Linked DNA regions of Callithrix jacchus. The protein of the gene in region 1 purifies or fractionates together with the protein of each later gene. This does not show direct contact. Links are inferred from orthologs where the notes say so. Each region holds a gene or a part of one and is shown in the gene's direction. Other genes may lie near its edges. The genes, in order: CDYL, EHMT2 and MIER1.

Region 1 (3,657 bases):
TGACCCATAGACCTAAAACGTTTACTGTTTGGCACTTCATATAAAGTTTGCCAACTCCTGATCTGTTGCGTCCCCTGTGACTTCCTTACGTATACTCAGTCTGGCCACTGAGTATACCTAAAAATGGAGCACACACCTACCCATACCTGTGGAGGCTACTGTTCCTCTTCCTCTTTGCTCAGTTTCCTAGGAGGGAGGGGCAGAATCTCCTGGGGACCTGGCAGCTGCAGATTCCCCAGGGGATGCTGGCCCTGGGGAATCCAGTGGGACATGGTTAAGAAGGGAATGGAAAGAAATGCACTGTGTTCCACCAGGCTCCTGCCTCAGCTCTAAGGAAACTGAGGAAAGCAAACAGGAGTATACTCTAGTAGACTGCCCGCTTCTGGAGTGGAAATGGATTTAAGGTGGGTTGGGCAGAGGAGGGGGGAACATGAAACATAGCTTTCCTGTAAGACATAATCTCTTCTCCTCTTTTTATTGAAAACTCTTAAACTGTTTCTGCAAAAACATCATTTACATGGACTTTTCCAGAAATAGGTCTTTTAAATTGAAATACACCCTTATACACAACTATTCACAAGTGAAGGAGCAGAGGAAAAATCACTTTCAGAAGCCTTCCCTGCTATGATATGGACTGTGTGGACTTGCACTTGCTGACCTGACATTAATTACTGACTCTGTGGAGATCTGTCAGACATGAAATTGGCCCTATGATGAGCTAAGGTCTTGCTGTTCCTAATACTTTTTTGCTCCGAAGCAATAATATATATTTAATTTTAGGCTGTTCAGTAGTTAAGGGCTTCTATTTTCTGTATCTGAGGTAGATACACTGGAGAGTTTTTTGTTTCTTTGAGAGTAAATGATGGGGATGGGGTATTCTCCTGTTGCCCACAATTGCCTGCACTTCTACTCATTAGGCTCCAGTATTGGGGGATGGATGTTAGAGAACCAGGCATGCCATTGTGTATCTGACCTACCTCTGCCTCTAACATCAATGTACCGATGTTCTTAATAATTGATGGGCTCAGACCTTTGCGTTCTTAATTAAAGAGCTGCTATGTGGCTGTAGGCCTCTGCCCACAAGATACAGAGTCACATGCTGCTGCCGGGAAGCGAGCTGATGCTTTTGTATTAACTTCTGATGTAACAACAGATTCTAGGTATTTCTCCAATAACATATGGAGACACTGTGTCAGATAATTCTTGTCCATGTGAGTTGTGGAAGATCTCTCTTCCATTTACACTTAGGATGTTAAGGTAGAATAATTTGTCACAGTGATAAAACATGGTTACAAGGCAGGGTGGTGTGAATTGATAACTTTGATCCAGAATGTATTGGTCATCCATTTCAGCAATTGACAGCATCTCCACTGAAAGATGTTAGTGTAAAATTAATTAAAACTAAGATTTCAAAATAACCTGATTGCTCTAGACTGTTTTATTACAATCAAGTATGATGTTCTCTGTTGACCTTTTTGGTTTTAATTGAGTGCTTCTGAATGATGCTTTGATACAGATCATATGTTTCTTTGATGGCGGTTTCACCCACAGAAGGTTCTCAGACTCTTGTAGCTCTTTGCCGTCACCACTCCAGGCCTTGCTTGGGGTCCCTGCTGCTGGTACCCTGGGGATGACCAGGCACAGCTGCAGATGCCCCAGGCTGCTCTAGCCATGAGTATGGAAACCAACTCAGTGGTCAGCCTTGTACACAGACATAACAGAGAGCCCCTTTCAGTCACAAAAACATAAGTCACCTAATGCATAGCCACACGTCTCAGCATAAAATTTTAGCATCTTGTTAGACTTACTTTCAGGGAAATTGCTCATACCCCAAATGGCCTATTACTATTTTATTGGGGTTGGAGAAGAGATCATTTTTATAATCTATTATAGTTTTTGCTATTTTTGATGTTCTTAATTACATTTGTACTTTTCTCAAAAAATTTTGATTTTTTTAAACTATTTTTTTTCTTTTATAAACAGGTTGAAAGGATTGTTGACAAAAGGAAAAATAAAAAAGGGAAGACAGAGTATTTGGTTCGGTGGAAAGGCTATGACAGCGAAGATGACACTTGGGAGCCGGAGCAGCACCTCGTCAACTGTGAGGAATACATCCATGATTTCAACAGACGCCACACGGAGAAGCAGAAAGAGAGCACGTTGACCAGAACAAACAGGACCTCTCCCAACAATGCTAGGAAACAAATCTCCAGATCCACCAACAGCAACTTTTCTAAGACCTCTTCTAAGGCACTTGTGATTGGGAAAGACCATGAATCCAAAAACAGCCAGCTGTTTGCTGCCAGCCAGAAGTTCAGGAAGAACACAGCTCCATCTCTCTCCAGCCGGAAGAACATGGACCTAGCAAAGTCAGGTATCAAGATCCTCGTGCCTAAGAGCCCCATTAAGAGCAGGACCACAGTGGATGGCTTTCAGAGTGAGAGCCCCGAGAAACTGGACCCCGTCGAGCAGGGTCAGGAGGACACGGTGGCGCCTGAAGTGGCAGCGGAAAAGCCAGTCGGAGCTTTATTGGGCCCCGGTGCTGAGCGGGCCAGGATGGGGAGCAGGCCCCGGATACACCCGCTAGTGCCTCAGGTGCCCGGCCCGGTGACTGCAGCCATGGCCACAGGCTTAGCTGTTAATGGGAAAGGTGAGTGTCTGGGGAGCTGCCTGGAGCTCTGCGGCGATCCCAAAGGGTGTGGGTCCTTCTCTAGAGATCAGGCCCTGAGCTATGGAGATTCCCACAGCGTCTGCTGGAGGCTTGCAGAGATGTTGCCAGCTTCTCCTTTCTTCACTTGAAGCCTTTGGCATTTCTCTTAAATCAGCACTAGGTGTCTCATTCTGTTGCGCCATCCACAGACTGCTACCACACTGACTTGCTTTAAACATATCTCCCTCTAACTAGGTTAGGTGGGTAACTTTACAGCACGTTTCTGGAGCTGTCTGCCTTTCTTCACCTCTTAGGTGGTGAGTCTAGTCTCTTCTCCTTTGCAGCGTTTTCTTCTAAGTGCGGCCAGCCTTGATTCAGAAGTGCTGGTTCTTGTTTTGCTCATCCATTTGAATTAGCAGGAATGCCTTTCAGTGAAGGCATTGCTAACCCAGTGGGACCTGTAGGAGCTGGGCTCGTTTATGGGATGATTGGCAGTGTGGTTGCCATTGTTTCTCCCATCAGAGCTGAGTCTGCCTGGAACAGGTGGTGTCTTCGGTTTTGCTCTCACACCAGCCCTGCTCCTGGGTTCTGCAGCTGCCTTGGTTGTGCTATGACCTGTCCATCTCCCAGGACAGCACAACTGGGAGTTCACACAGGTGGCTCCTTTGCACTTGCCATGCTGTGCCAGCCACAGTTGTTAATTCTCTTACACAGATTTCTCCCAGCCAGGCCCTGGCCCTGCCTCACTTGAAGTCCTCATGACTTCGCACCTGCTGGAGCTTTCTAATAGAGCTTCCTGCTTCCTGCCTTCTTACAGCTCCCATACATTTTCAGTCATTCTCAGACAAGGGTGGTGCTCTTGGCACCCCCACCCCCAGTTGGCCTTCAGTAGCAGGTGTGCCCTGCATGTCTGTGACCCAGCCCTCCCCTGCCCTCTGGCTCCCTCTTTCTGTCAGCACCAGGGCCGCACACTTCCTTTGTCTCCAGCTGCTCAGGGGCCCCCTGCC
Region 2 (3,657 bases), about 14 Mb from region 1:
TTTTTATAGTTGCAGTTCATTTTGTAAATAATAGAGAAAAATTTATAAATGAGTTAGAGTGAGAGATTAACAACAATAATGATAAACTAGCATAATCATAACAATAGGCCAGGCGTGGCTTGCCTGTAATCTCAACACTTTCAGAGGCGGAAGCCAGCGATCACCTGAGGTCAGGAGTTCAGAGAAGAGCCTGGTCAACCCCATCTCTACTAAAAACAAAAAATAGAAAATTAGCCGGGTTTGGTGGTGTGCACCTGTAATCTCGTGAGAATCTCTTGAACCCGAGAGGCGGAGATTGCAGTGAGCCAAGATCATACTACTCCAGCCTGGGCAACAGAGAGAGACTCAAAAAAAAAAAAATAGCACATTTCTAACAATACACTACATCACTTCTGAAAAACTGGATAAGAGGGAACTAGTGTCACATAAAATTTACCATCTAAAAAACATTTTTAGCCGGGCACAGTGGCTCACCCCTGTAATCCCAGCTCTTTGGGAGGCTGAAGCAGGAGGATCACCTGAGGTCAGGAAACACCGCACCTGGCAATCATACAGCATTTATGTTTTTGTGACTTGCTTATTTCACTTAGCATAATGTCCTCAAGGTTTATCTATACTGTAGCATGTTAGAATTTCTTTCCTTTCACCTGGACAACATAGCGAGACCCCATCTCTAAAAGAAGTTTAAAAAAAAGTTTAAGGCTGGCACAGTGGCTCACACCTGTAATCCCAGCACTTTGGGAGTCTGAGGCAGGTGGATCACGAGGTCAGGAGTTCGAGACGAGCCTGGCCAACATGGTGAAACCCTATCTCTACTAAAAATACCAAAATTATCCAGGTGCAGTGGCAGGCACCGTAATCGCAGCTACGGGGGTGGGGGAGTGGTGAGGCAGGAAAATCACTTGAACCCGGGAGGCGGAGGTTTCAGTTAGCCGAGATCCCTCCACTGCACTCTAGCCTGGGCGACACAGCAAGACTCCGTCTCAAAAAAAGAAAAAGAATGGTTAAGGCCAGTCTCGGTGGCTCACTCCTGAAATCCCAGCACTTTGGGAGGCCAAGGTGGGCAGATCACAAGGTCGGGAGATCAAGACAATCCTGGCCAACACTGTGAAACCCTGTCTCTACTAAAATACAAAATTATCCAGGCGTGGTGGCACACGCCTGTGGTCCCAACTACTCAGGAGGCTGAGGCAGGGGAATCACTTGAACCTGGGAGGTGGAGGTTGCAGTGAGCCAAGATTGTGCCATTGCACTCCCGCCTGGGTGACAAGCAAAATTCTGTCTCAAGAAAAAAAAATGTTTAAAAGGCTAAACCCAGTGACTGACTCCTGTAATCCTGCACTTTCTGGGGAGGATCCCTTGACACCAGGAGTTCAAGACCAGCCTGGGCAACATGGCAAGATCTCTTCTGTCTCTTAAAAAAAAGTATAATCTTTCCTTTTTATGGCTGAATGCTATACACATATGTAATTGTATATAAATGCCACATTTTGCTTATCCATTCATCTGTCAGTGGCACTTGTGTTGCTTCTGCACTTCAGCTGTTGTGAATAGTTCTGCTGCGTACATGGCCTCCTATAAAAGGCCTTTAACTTGGTTGAGTTTTGTTTTCTCACCTGTAAAATGGAAAAGGGCCTGCTCTGCATGGTTGCAGAGATAAGCGAGTGTGAGTGTGCTTGACACTCTTCCTCTGGGGAGATGGCATTTGGAAGTGCAGCTTACTCACCCACCCCTGCCTAGGCTCCAGGCTAACCGTAGGTGCTCTCTGACCCTCCGTGTGCTCCCTCTTGGCCCACAGCCCCCAGTCCCTGAGAAGCGGCCCCCTGAAGTACAGCATTTCCGCATGAGCGATGACGTCCACTCACTGGGAAAGGTGACCTCAGGTCAGTCCCATCCCCTGCCCACTGTGGCTTGATGTGGCCTGTTCTGAAGGTTTCAATTATAGGCCCCACACCATTCTCTCTCCTCTTCCAGATGTGGCCAAAAGGAGGAAGCTGAACTCAGGAGGCAGCCTGGTGAGCAGCAGAGCCAGGGCCTATCCCTCTGGGGGGCTGCTCCGAGGGAGGCTCAGGAGTAGGGCTGCATCCTGTCCTCAAGAGAAATGGGCAAGGTGTCAGTGACCTCAATTTTTCTAATCTTTCTAGTCGGAAGAGTTAGGTTCTGCCCGGCGTTCAGGAGAAGTGACCCTGGCAAAAGGGGACCCCGGGTCCCTGGAGGAGTGGGAGACAGTGGTGGGTGATGACTTCAGTCTCTACTATGATTCTTACTCTGTGGATGAGCGCATGGACTCTGACAGCAAGGTGAGGCAGAGCTGTGTTTCCCCGGGGCTGGGGCTCACTAGCCAGTCCTCCTTGTTTCCTGTTTTTCTCCTTTCTGTCCTTTTTATCTTCTGAACACCCACTAAGTCACTGCCCCACGCTGTCTGTAACTCATTTTCAATGTATGCTCCGCCCATTCCATCCACGAAGGCGGCCACCCCTGCACATTGGGTTTAGTATTCTTTTTTTTTTTTTTTTTTTTCAGCTAATGAAATTACCATTTAACAGGCATGCACCATTTAAAAAGGAAAACAAAAAAATCTTGTCATTTATTTGTTTATCCCCATGCTCTTTGTTTGGTTTTATCTTGTATGTTTGCCTATACAGTATAATGTTCAGTCTCTCTAGTTTTGCCTTTTTTTAATTTAACGTTTTATCATGCAAACTTGCAAGTATAATCAAAAGTGTGGACTAGGGAGCACCCATGGACCCATCACACAGCCCCAGCCATTATCATTACCCAGCCCGTCTTGACCCATCTGTGCCTCTCCCAACACACACCCAGTGGGTTATTTTAAAGCAAATTCCAGACCTTGTATCATTTTACCTAGACATATTTCCATATGTACCTGTAAATATAAGGCCTCTTTTTGTTGTTCAACATCACTGCACTACTGTTTTCACACCAAAAAAAAACTTACCAATGAGTTCTTAATACCATCAAATGTCCTGTCAGTCTTCACATTTCCTCAGCTGTCTCATAAATGGGCTTTTGTCAAGATCCAAATGAGGCCCACACCTTGAATTGATTAACACTTGTTTTAGGTCTCTCTTGGTATTTAGGTTTCCCCATCTTCTAAAAAAAAATTTGGAGGCCAAGTACAGTAGCTCATGCCTATAATCCCAGCACTTTGGGAGGCAGGTGGATCACCTGAGGTCAGGGGTTCGAGATCAGCCTGGCCAACACGGTGAAAACTCATTTCTACTAAAAATACAAAAATGAGCTGGGCATGGTGGCAGGTGCCTATAATCCCAGCTACTCAGGAGGCTGAGGCAGGAGAATCACTTGAACCCAGGAGGCAGAGGTTGCAGTGAGCTGTTGTGCCATTGCACTCCAGCCTGGGCAACAAGCAAAACTCTGTCAAACAAACAAATATATATGTGTATGTATATATATATATATATATATATATATGTGTGTGTATATATATATATATATATATATATATATATATATATGTCTTGCCATTTATCCGTTGAAGAAACCAGGTCAGTTGTCCTACAGAATTTCTCATATTTAGGAGTTAGCTGATTGGGTGGAGATTGACACATTCTCTCTGCCGATATTTCTTGTAAACCAATAGATTTAGAAGCATAATCACTTCAGGTGCCAAGAAGA
Region 3 (2,741 bases), on another chromosome or scaffold:
TTCTTAACATATTAACACTAAATAAATCATTTTCTTTTCCTTTTTAAAAAACTTTGATGAGAACATGCTTCTTTAGGATAGTGTTCCTAAGTTACTATCCTAAATTACTATAAATTACTCGTAGCTCAAAAGCCACTCACATTATGTACAGTCAAGACTGCCAGCTTTTTCAAAGAAAGGAAGGAACTTTCCATCCCAATATTATAGTACTTTTTTATATGGGATTTTAATTAGTACTTTGAAATCTTACAATTATTTGTGACCTAATCACAGTCTCAGCTAGCTTTTTGGACTTGATCCTACAGAATTGTTCTCTTCAATATCTTATGATGCATAATCCCCATGTGCATTCATGATTTGAGTGCATTTTTGAGTTGATCAAAATATTTTGTTTGATCAAAATACAATATTTGAGGCTCATCCTTTATGTTGAATATTTTTCAGGCAATTAAATTGTAATTATTCAGTGATGATGCATCCTATATTTTACTTCGTATCACTAAAATTTCCATTCATTTTACAGTCAACTCTAAAGTGAACTTTTCTGTTTTATTACAATAATTTTGCTTTTACTTTTCTCCTCTATTGTAGAAGAATTTGTTTTACTTTTAGCACTTTCAAGTATATGCTTGGATAGGGCAACATTAGCTTTTTAACATTATGACAGATATATTTAAGTCTACTTAGGTAAATAGTGTGTGATCTTTTTTTTTTTGAAATGGAGTCTTGCTCTGTTGCCCAGGCTGGAGTGCAGTGTTACCATTTTGGCTTACTGCAACCTCCGTCTCCCAGGTTCAAGCAATTCTTCTGCCTCAGCCTCCTGAGTAGCTGGGACTACAGGCCTGTTCCACCACGCCCGGCTAATTTTTGTATTTTTAGTAGAGGTGAGGTTTCACCATATTGGCCAGGCTGATCTTGAACTCCTGACCTCGTGAGCCACCATGCCTGGTTGTATGTGATGTTTTAAAAGCACAGTTCCCAGAGATTTACATTAAGAATAAAGTCATCATATCTTGCCTTTATATGGTAGCTTACTCAAGCTTTTATAAGAAAGGATATTCATTTTGCTTTTTACATAGTTTCAGAATGTTGAAAACCTTTTGTTAAATCTGAGTAATTTATTGCATTTTTCATTGTTAATTCAGCTTATTTAGATTTCTGGATCCAGTGCTTATTTGCTGTCACATATACCTAAAATGCTTTTAATATATGCCAAATTCTCTTCTTAGTTCTTTACATTTATGAACTTATTTAATTTTCACAACAACCCTGTGTGGAATTTCTATTATGATCTTCATTGTATATATGTAATGAAATGGAGGTAGAGAAAGAGTAAATAATTTGCCTAAGGTCACATAACTAATAAGTAATAGAGCAAGAATTCAGACTGTATATATATATTTGATACCTTGCTTACTTGATAACAATAGCAATTTTACAGTAAGCTGTTTTACAGTAGTTTGCAAATTTAGCTTTTTTGTAATTGTGGTTTCATTTTATGTTTCTTTCAACTTAGGAGTGTCATCTAATGGACCAGGTGAAATATTAAACAAAGAAGAAGTAAAAGTTGAAGGGTTACACATTAATGGACCAACAGGTGGAAATAAGAAACCACTTCATGGAGATATGGATACTAATGGTTATGAAACAGATAACCTTACCACTGACCCAAAACTTGCCCATATGACTGCAAGAAATGAAAACGATTTTGATGAAAAAAGTGAGAGACCTGCCAAAAGGCGAAGGGTAAACAGCAGTGGAAAAGAAAGTCCAGGTTCTTCTGAATTTTTCCAAGAAGCAGTCTCACATGGGAAATTTGAAGAACTTGAAAACACAGATGACTAAATTTTAGACCTATTTTACTTTCTTTGGAGTAAATTCTGGTGTGACTAAAATTTTCAGGGTTGATGGGTTACCTTAAAAAGTTGAATTTCTTGAAGCAGTTTGTTAAAATTTGGAAATTTGAATTGAGTCTTAACTTTAGGAAATGAGGTTTCATAATTCTGCCTTTTGCAGATTTTTTTTACTTTAAAGCTGTCAGACTCTTTTAAGGATATTTTAAAAATTAGTAAATTTGAGTGAACTAAAGATATATCTGCACCTTCTCATTTGATGTATTAATCATAAAATTTCACTACGAGGTAATTTTTGCTTAGTTTGATGGAGGAATGGGAAAAAACTCAAGTCCAAATTTCTGCTTAACACCAGTTTCTCTGAGTTTCTTGAAATGTCTTGTCTTTATAACAGACATTTTTCTTGCCATACAGTTTGAGTATCATTATTAAGGAAACCCTTATGAATCCTGAAAATTATGCTAGCATGATTTTTTTATATATAGAAGTTTAAAAATAAACCAGGTCAGGTTTGTATATGTAAAATTGTTGACATCAATGATGTCTTTCCATATTCTTATCTGGGCTTAAGAAATACATTCTGTATTTTTCCAGATTCTTTGTAGCCTTTGAAAGATTTTTACAGTACATATGTCTTGACTGAGCTGTCCTTTCTTAATACAAAAGCTTGTATAATTTTCTTAACTTGTACAGTTGGTAAACTTTTATGAGAGGAATTGTTATTCTGAGTCTGTCAGCTTTCATTTTATTTTGCTAAGGTTTTTCTAATGATTTTTTAAGTGTTTGTGTAGTAATTAAGTCATATTTCTTATCCAGGTGGTAAAAGCATTCATAAAAGATTATAAAAATTTGTTTTTGTTTTTGTTTTTCAAATTTCTACTTAACGGC

What was found.
Region 2: the proteins of CDYL (region 1) and EHMT2 purify together in Homo sapiens (affinity purification with mass spectrometry; 4 studies listed by BioGRID and IntAct, with this or other methods). This does not show direct contact. The link is inferred for Callithrix jacchus from reciprocal best matches to the Homo sapiens genes CDYL and EHMT2.
Region 3: the proteins of CDYL (region 1) and MIER1 purify together in Homo sapiens (co-immunoprecipitation; 3 studies listed by BioGRID and IntAct, counting the BioPlex papers as one, with this or other methods). This does not show direct contact. The link is inferred for Callithrix jacchus from reciprocal best matches to the Homo sapiens genes CDYL and MIER1.

Annotation. Positions count from the first base shown.
Region 1 is NC_133505.1:25,590,702-25,594,358, reverse strand, and holds part of CDYL (chromodomain Y-like protein), read left to right. Parts: intron 1-1,983; coding exon 1,984-2,650; intron 2,651-3,657.
Region 2 is NC_133505.1:39,399,070-39,402,726, reverse strand, and holds part of EHMT2 (histone-lysine N-methyltransferase EHMT2), read left to right. Parts: intron 1-1,798; coding exon 1,799-1,883; intron 1,884-1,974; coding exon 1,975-2,015; intron 2,016-2,144; coding exon 2,145-2,300; intron 2,301-3,657. UniProt on the Homo sapiens protein: Histone methyltransferase that specifically mono- and dimethylates 'Lys-9' of histone H3 (H3K9me1 and H3K9me2, respectively) in euchromatin.
Region 3 is NC_133508.1:104,196,054-104,198,794, forward strand, and holds the end of MIER1 (mesoderm induction early response protein 1), read left to right. Parts: intron 1-1,516; coding exon 1,517-1,845; 3' UTR 1,846-2,088; downstream 2,089-2,741. UniProt on the Homo sapiens protein: Transcriptional repressor regulating the expression of a number of genes including SP1 target genes. Probably functions through recruitment of HDAC1 a histone deacetylase involved in chromatin silencing.